Neurospora crassa OR74A: one gene and its partner. The protein of the gene in region 1 purifies or fractionates together with the protein of each later gene. This does not show direct contact. Links are inferred from orthologs where the notes say so. Each region holds a gene or a part of one and is shown in the gene's direction. Other genes may lie near its edges.

What was found. The genes of interacting proteins can lie anywhere in the genome.
Region 2: the proteins of pp2A (region 1) and NCU00488 purify together in Saccharomyces cerevisiae (affinity purification with mass spectrometry; 5 studies listed by BioGRID, with this or other methods). This does not show direct contact. The link is inferred for Neurospora crassa OR74A from reciprocal best matches to the Saccharomyces cerevisiae genes PPG1 and TPD3.

The regions. Positions count from the first base shown.
Region 1 is NC_026504.1:1,636,531-1,640,379, reverse strand, and holds pp2A (serine/threonine-protein phosphatase PP2A catalytic subunit), read left to right. Parts: upstream 1-1,194; 5' UTR 1,195-1,702; coding exon 1,703-1,718; intron 1,719-1,893; coding exon 1,894-2,127; intron 2,128-2,242; coding exon 2,243-2,497; intron 2,498-2,563; coding exon 2,564-3,021; 3' UTR 3,022-3,309; downstream 3,310-3,849. UniProt on the Saccharomyces cerevisiae protein: Involved in glycogen accumulation.
Region 2 is NC_026503.1:4,029,612-4,033,625, reverse strand, and holds the start of NCU00488 (protein phosphatase PP2A regulatory subunit A), read left to right. Parts: upstream 1-1,212; 5' UTR 1,213-1,937; coding exon 1,938-2,003; intron 2,004-2,093; coding exon 2,094-2,199; intron 2,200-2,310; coding exon 2,311-2,462; intron 2,463-2,530; coding exon 2,531-3,022; intron 3,023-3,090; coding exon 3,091-3,350; intron 3,351-3,407; coding exon 3,408-3,846; intron 3,847-3,905; coding exon 3,906-4,014. Other genes in the region: NCU11185 (protein phosphatase), read left to right, coding at 1-581. UniProt on the Saccharomyces cerevisiae protein: Phosphatase 2A affects a variety of biological processes in the cell such as transcription, cell cycle progression and cellular morphogenesis, and provides an initial identification of critical substrates for this phosphatase.

The DNA.
Region 1 (3,849 bases):
TAAGAGGCCCATTCTGAGAGCTAAAATGAGGAAATGAAACGTGTTACCTTTGAACCTTCCCGTCCCCAATCTCCCGGGTGGCAGAGAAGTTGGTCCGAGTAAGGGATTGCCAATGTTGACTGTGATCGACCTCAATAAAGATGATCGCATCGAAAGCCCTCAACTGCGTCCTCGATAAAAGCCCGTAGAGGACATGACCAAGACATGTTGCGATGATATCGCGCAAGATGTCCCGTCATGATTCCCATACACCGTCCCATCGTTGGCTGCCTCGGTGGACAGCAAGACCATGAATGCCTTCCTCCCTGTGACCAGATACTACTCGTCGATCAACTCCTGAACTGCAATCCAAGGCAGCCAACTCTGGGGCTCGATGAGCTTCGAGCTTGAACGCCAGTGAAAGAGTAGGCATATGAAGCATAAAAAAAAGAAATAACCTCGGGCTCAGTCCAACCGAGGCCTCGCCAGAGAGGACAGGGACAACGCTTTGAAAGGCAGTGAAGCCTCAGACTACGCCAGAAAGCAACACTGGACTTTGGCGTCTTGGTCCTGGGAATCTGGCCAGCAATCAATAGACAGAATGAACAGAAAAAGCAGAAAAAGCCATCAGATACAAAGTGTGGACCGAAAAGCCCGGAACTATTGGCAGAAGAGCGCCGAATCAAACCAATGTGTCCGTTGACACAGCTGAAGGATGGGAAAGTGAGTTCGCCGAGATATCTTCAGAGGTGGCCGCGGACGCAGCAAAGCAGCAGAAGCGCAAGAGAGAGGAGCAGGGAAAGGAATTTGTGAGGGTCCAAGTTGGAAGAGAGGAGGGAGACCGCTGGCTTTTGTATGAACCGGTTACCAAGTGGGGCACAAGCACCCAGTCCCTTCCAGCACGTGTGAGGCCGTGAGTGATGGGGAGCCGGGGATTCAGGGCGTCAAGAACCTGGGCCGCTGGGCGAGCTGCCGCACGGGCCTTTTCAGTGACGGGCCGGGATGACGGGCGGTTTCCCAGCTGTCTGCAGTGCTTTCCACTCATGTTGCCAGCTGAGTGTCGAGGAACCGTCAACACTCAGCGCAGCTGGCCCGAATGAGGGCACGTCACCTCGTCAGCAGCAGCAGCCCACCTGGGGCACCTCCAGGGCACTGCAGAAGGGAGGGCAGGTGCAGCGCGTCGAGCCTCCTTGGATTCGCTAGGAAGGAAAGGCTTCAGCACTCGGGATTGCGCTTCTCCCTCGGCTTCCTCAGTCAGCAACAAAAACACACGTCGCCTTCATTTCCACCTCAGTACAGACTGTACAGTACCAAATTCAGATGGAAAGTTGTATTCCTGCTAGGCCGCTTGCGACTGCTCTCTCAGAATCCGTATAGCACATTTCTTCCCTCCCAACTTTCAGTTTTGATTTTTTTTTCTAAAGCAAACTGAAGCTGAGCTGTCCCATCACCAAGTGACTGGAGGATTGCGCTCCGTCGTCTGCTGAAGCTCTTTTGCCCCGTTCGATGTGACAATAACCACCTCTTCGAACATGTTGATTCGCATCTATCCAACCACCACCACTGACATCGCTCGAGCTGGGAGAAGCACTACCAGCCTTTACCGCAACTCGTGATTGCTGAGCCTGTCGACACAACACTACCAACTGCAAAACGTGTCTAAGTTGTGTTTTTAGCGCCGTTCCATTGATCCTACTACACGAGAGCATCATCTCTGCCCGTCATGCCTGGCCTTCCCCGTAAGTTGGTCCATTGCACCCTTTGCGCCACCAACGTTGAAAAGCAGCGGACAAGGCCATGCCCCTCCTCTTCTTGCCCATCCCACGCCCCGCCAAAAAAGACACCGACAAACCCCCAACATAAATTCAACGGCGCAGACATACCACAACCACTGACATGTGACGTGCCGAATAGCTTCGGTCGACCTCGACGAGTGTATCTCACGCCTCTACAAAAAGGAACTACTCGCTGAATCGGTTATCGAAGCGATATGCGCCAAAACAAAAGAGCTGCTAATGCGCGAGAGCAATGTCGTGCATGTTCGCGCCCCCGTTACGGTTGTCGGTGACATCCACGGCCAGTTCTATGATTTGATAGAGATATTCAGGATCGGTGGCTACTGTCCAGACACGAATTATCTATTTCTAGGTGGGTGGTGATCTTGGTGGTGGTGATGGAAGCAAGACGCGGGCGGCGCGTGCCCTCCATGCGGGTGCTGTGCTAAAATGACGACGTTTGACTAACCTTGGGAGAAAAACAACAGGCGACTATGTCGACCGAGGCATGTTCAGCGTCGAAACGATTTCTCTTCTTGTTTGTTTAAAACTGAGATACCCCAACCGCGTCCATTTGATTCGAGGCAACCACGAGTCCCGCGGCGTAACGCAGTCTTACGGCTTTTATACCGAGTGCTCGCGCAAGTACGGCAATGCCAATGTCTGGCATTACTTTACCGACATGTTCGATTTCCTCACATTAAGTGTGGTCATCAACGACCAAATATTCTGTGTACACGGAGGTAAGATACCCCCTTTCTGGGCGCCAGGTGTACAAGCTAGTTGCTAAACCTCTTCTTCCGCGCCAGGTCTCTCCCCTTCGATTCACTCTATCGACCAAATTAAAGTAATCGACCGCTTCCGCGAGATTCCCCACGAAGGCCCCATGGCCGACCTAGTATGGTCCGATCCCGATCCCGACCGCGACGAGTTCAGTTTATCACCCCGCGGCGCTGGCTACACTTTCGGAGCGCAGGTGGTTAAGAAGTTCCTGGCGGTGAACAACATGAACCACATTCTGCGCGCGCACCAGCTCTGTCAGGAAGGGTATCAGGTGCTATACGACGACCGGCTGAGCACGGTATGGAGCGCGCCCAACTACTGCTACCGGTGCGGAAACATGGCAAGTGTCTTGGAGGTCAGCGATACTGGAGAGCGCTTCTTCAATGTGTTTGCGGCCGCTCCTGAGAACGACGCCGTTAAGGATCAGCAGATGAATCAGGACAAGTCGGCGGAGGGGGGCGCATTGCCGGATTACTTTTTGTAATAGTCGGCGAGAGACGGGAAACCCCCCTACATGGTGCGCACTCGGGGCGAATGGGGATAGAGGACGGGAACAGAGAGCATGAGCGTTGCGGATGGTCTTGGCTTGAACTTGTTCGCACCAAAGAGTGTGAATACACTGCATATACCCACGCTAGCGACCGCAATGTCATAGATTAGAAGCAGGCATGAATGATAGAGGTACTCGGGACAGTTTTTTTTTTTTCTTCTCCTCTACTAACAAGTAAGCCCTCCCGATCTTCTTCATAGCAGATAAGAGAAACCGCAAGACCTGAATTGCGTATGTGAGAGTTATGTGTGTTTATACTACTAAGATAAGATGATGTGTATGTATGTAGATAAATGTAAGGAAGTTTTCTCCTCTTCCCCTTCCCTCCTGCCCGGAAAGGGGGGCGTATACCCTAAACGACCAAACCATCCTGTGGCCCAGATTCCGTTCCGTTCCGTTCGCTTGCCTTTCCAGTCCCATACCTAGATAAGGTGAAACAGACGTCGGTGTGTTTCTACCTTCCTTTCCCTTGTCGAGTTCCGGTAGTGTAGTGTATCTTTCTCCCTGTTTCGTGATCTTCGAAACAGGGAGGAAGCGCGTGTTTAGTCTTCTTTCCCCACTCAGCATGATTAATTCCATCTTCATCCTCTATCGAGTTCGCTCCTCGTTCGCGAATGGCGCATCCCTCTTTGCCCACGAAATCAACCGAGGGCACAGCAGTTCGTCACAGTATGCCAACAGCGAAGTGTATGTGTGTGTGTATCCGATGCGGCTGACTAGCTGGACTGAGTGACCGGCTAGCTTATAGGGCGAGAAACTAGA
Region 2 (4,014 bases), on another chromosome or scaffold:
TTGACGACCACGTCAGGGGCCGTGAGCGTATACTATTCCCTCGCTGCGACGACGTGCGGTGGTGGCACCAACTCTTCAACCGGACGGATGATGAGATGAATGGCGACCTCAATGCCTTGGCCGCAACAGCAGAGCGTGTTGCTGCGTATCAGCAAGCTTCGTCGTCATCAGAGCTTTCAAGGCCTGTCGATGCGGGTACGATTGATGTGAACAGCAACCCACCATCGTCCGGCGCCCCATCGCGGACATCGGTAAGCCCCACCCGGAGCCCGCTGCCGCCGGGCTTGGCAGCTACCGCGGCCGGAGGGTCCGTGCATGCAGGCGTGGAGTCGGCCCACGAGGTTCTGACGCCCGGGACTAGAAGTCCGGCGCCACCAAACCGGAATGTCGCCGCTGGAGATCCTACGGGCACTTTTGCAGCTCTTCAGGAGAGGATTTCCGGATTGTCGCTTGGAAAGGCTATGTTTGGCGGCGGCACCGGTGGGAGCACAGGGCGAAGTTCGATTGGAGGATCTGGCTCTGATTCCGGGCGGAATTCGCAAAACGAACTGGCGGAGCAGGAGATGAAGAGTATGAGTTAGATGAGTGGTGAAGAATGTTGGAGAAAGAGTAGAATAATATGTGGGCAATTGGTTCCCGTTATGAGAATAGCACGTTGGAACAGCATGCTCCCTGATGAAGCAAGGTTAGCGATGCTTTAGTTGCAGTAATGCCTGACTTTATAAGACAGCAAAATATGAACAGCATACATTCCCAAACCAGTATCAGTATTAACATGTGATGATGTTTTAGTGAGTCAGAATTGGAATACGTGATGTTGTAACAACTCACCTTAGGCTGTAACAAGGCAGTTAGTTGGTGTTAAACATTCTCCCCTTCTTGCATCTTGATGGCTGTTGCCATTCTTCCGGAGCTGTAGCACCTCCTTTTTATGTCAGTCTGCAGTGTTTTCCAACAACCTGACCTCACGAAGAAATGTAAGTTGAACAGAAAGAGCGGCTTACGTCGCGAGTTGGAAGCGAAAGAAGTGGTTCATTGATAGAGGTACCTACCTACCTAACTCTCGTGGTGCAGCAAGTAGGTACCTACGTAAGTGGTGCCCGGTGCGCCTTGAGGGGCCACCCCTACGACGGGAACGGGCGGCTACGTCCCAAGCTGAAATGGCGAGTGGCCAGTGCTCCTTCTCAGTTCTCACCCTTGTCCGCCCGGCCCCCGTCATGAACTGGACCCCAGCTTTGCGCGTCAGGTCAATTTGTGTCGAAGACCGGGTCCAGCTGTGTCCCGCCGTTGGTTAGGCGACCTTAAGTGCTGCCCTGCTGCCCTGCTGCCCTGGCTGCTGCTGTTGCTGCTCCTCCTTGTTGCGGCCCTGCGGGGACCACCAAGCTCGCTCCGATCTCCACCTCTAGGTGTAGGTGAGTCCTCCCCCCGAACAGGAACCACCGTCAACCCTCCATCAAGCAACCCTTACCTATTATCAAGCAAAACCGTCCAGTATCATTCCTTCTTTGCCTGCTTGCTGCCCGCCGTGTCGTGGCGCCGTGTGCGAAACTACCTTACTGCTGAGAGATCGCATCCAATTCCGATTTCGACCCGACGAAGCGTCACTCTTGCTTTTTCTTTTTCAACCAAGCAACCAAAACCAACCTAAATACAACAAACCTACCTACCTACCTAGCTGCCCGCCCAAGCAACGCAGTTACCAAGTTGCGCACACGCACGCATCCACTTTCCTCTCTCTACCACAATCACAGTCACTGGTACCGCCGCCGCACAGCGTCGCCCGACCGGCTACCAGTCCAGTCCACACCCCCCCGTCTATTGCATCACGCCCGCAAGCGAACATCCGTACCAAGTCAACCAGTTTGTCCAAATCCGCCTCGCTCGCCGACTGTATACTCCCCCGCGATCTTCCGCGTCCACTTCACAAATCGCCCACAATGGCCGACGCGACGAACGCGAACGACGAGCTCTTCCCCATCGCCGTGCTAATCGACGAATTGAAGGTATGATGGCGGTGACCCGGACGGCCAGAACCCCTGACTATCCCTTCTTGTCTGGTTGATGGACTGTAAACCCTGATTGACTTTGGGCAGCACGACGAGGTCGTCCTCCGATTAAACGCCATCCACCGTCTTTCGACTATCGCCCTTGCTTTGGGTCCCGAGCGCACTCGCGAGGAGCTGATTCCCTTTCTCGATGGTTAGCCAACCCTTCGACCCAGCTTCAGCCTAGCAAACCCACCTGCGCCGGCCTCTGGCTACACAGCCGCTGGGACTCTTGAGATACGGCTGCTGACACTTCTGAATGCAGAATCGGTTGAAGATGAAGATGAGGTCCTCGTTGCCCTGAGTGAAGAGCTTGGTAACTTTGTCGAGTACGTGGGGGGCCCCGCATGGGGACATGTCCTTCTTTCCCCCCTTGAGAACCTCGCTGCTATCGAGGAGCCCGTGGTGCGAGACAAGGTACGGATACGTGACCATTTCCTGGCTTCTTGTCATGCGACCCGCATGTGTACTGACAAACGTTTTAGGCTGTCGAATCATTGAACAAGATCTGCACTCAACTCTCTTCGCAGCAAGTTGAAGAATACTTTATCCCTCTTACGATTCGCCTCTCCAAGGCCGACTGGTTTACGTCCAAGGTTTCCGCATGCGGCCTGTATACAACCCCCTACTCGAAAGTTTCGCCGCCTATTCAAGAACAATTGCGCCAGCAGTTTGGACAGCTCGTCCACGATGAGACCCCCATGGTGCGCCGTCAGGCCGCCACCAACATGGCCAAGTTCGTGAAGGAGATGCCGGCTCCCATCGTTATCGAGGAAATGATACCCATGTTCCAACACCTCGCCCAGGACGACCAGGACAGCGTCAGACTCCTTACAGTCGAGATTTTGATCTCTATTGCGGAGGTTGTGCCCAAAGAGCAACAAGCCAGCCACACCGTGCTCCTCACATCGCTACGCAGCTTGATAGAGGACAAGAGTTGGAGGGTCCGCTATATGATCGCCGACAGATTTGAGAAGGTTCGTGGTCGCGCTAAGCACTTGGCCTCCCCTCATATCAATTCTTGGATGACTAACAGCACATACAGATTGCGAAGGCGGTTGATGATGAGGTTGTGTCCAGAGATCTTGTTCCTGCATTCGTAAAACTCCTGAAAGATAACGAGGCTGAGGTGCGGACTGCCATCGCCGGCCAGATCCCTGGCTTCTGTGCTTTGGTTGACCGCAACGTTCTCCTGAATGACATCATGGGAAGTGTTGAGGATCTCGTCTCGGATAGCTCCCAGCATGTCAGAGCTGCCCTTGGCACACAAATCAGCGGCCTCGCTCCTATCTTGGGCAAGCAAGAGTACGTTCCCGCAGTCAGACACGGTTTCTTTGATGCGTATGCTAATTATTGCACAAGGACTATTGATCATCTTCTGCCCATGTTCCTTCAGATGCTCAAGGACGAGTTCCCAGAGGTTCGCCTTCACATCATCAGCAAACTGGAGCTTGTGAACCAAGTTATCGGCATCGACCTCCTTTCTCAGTCTCTCCTTCCGGCCATTGTACAGCTAGCCGAAGATAAGCAGTGGCGTGTACGCTTGGCTATTATCGACTACATCCCGCTTCTTGCCAGCCAGCTGGGCGTCAAGTTTTTTGACGAGAAGCTCAGCCAGCTTTGCATGGGCTGGCTCGGAGATACTGTTTTCTCCATTCGTGAGGCCGCTACTCAAAACCTAAGGAAGCTGACCGAGGTGTTTGGTGTTGAGTGGGCAAGCGAGGCTATTATTCCCAAGGTTATGGCTATGGGTGCCCACCCCAACTACCTTTACCGGATGACCACTTGCTTTGCTATCACGGTAAGAGACTCAATGGCATACGAAAATCAGTGAAGTCCCTGTCTGACTAGTGTTTACAGACCCTGGCTACCGTTGTCAGTCTGGATGTGATTGCCAAGTCCATCCTTCCGATGCTGGAAAAGCTCACAGCCGATTCGATCCCCAATATTCGCTTTAACGTCGCAAAGA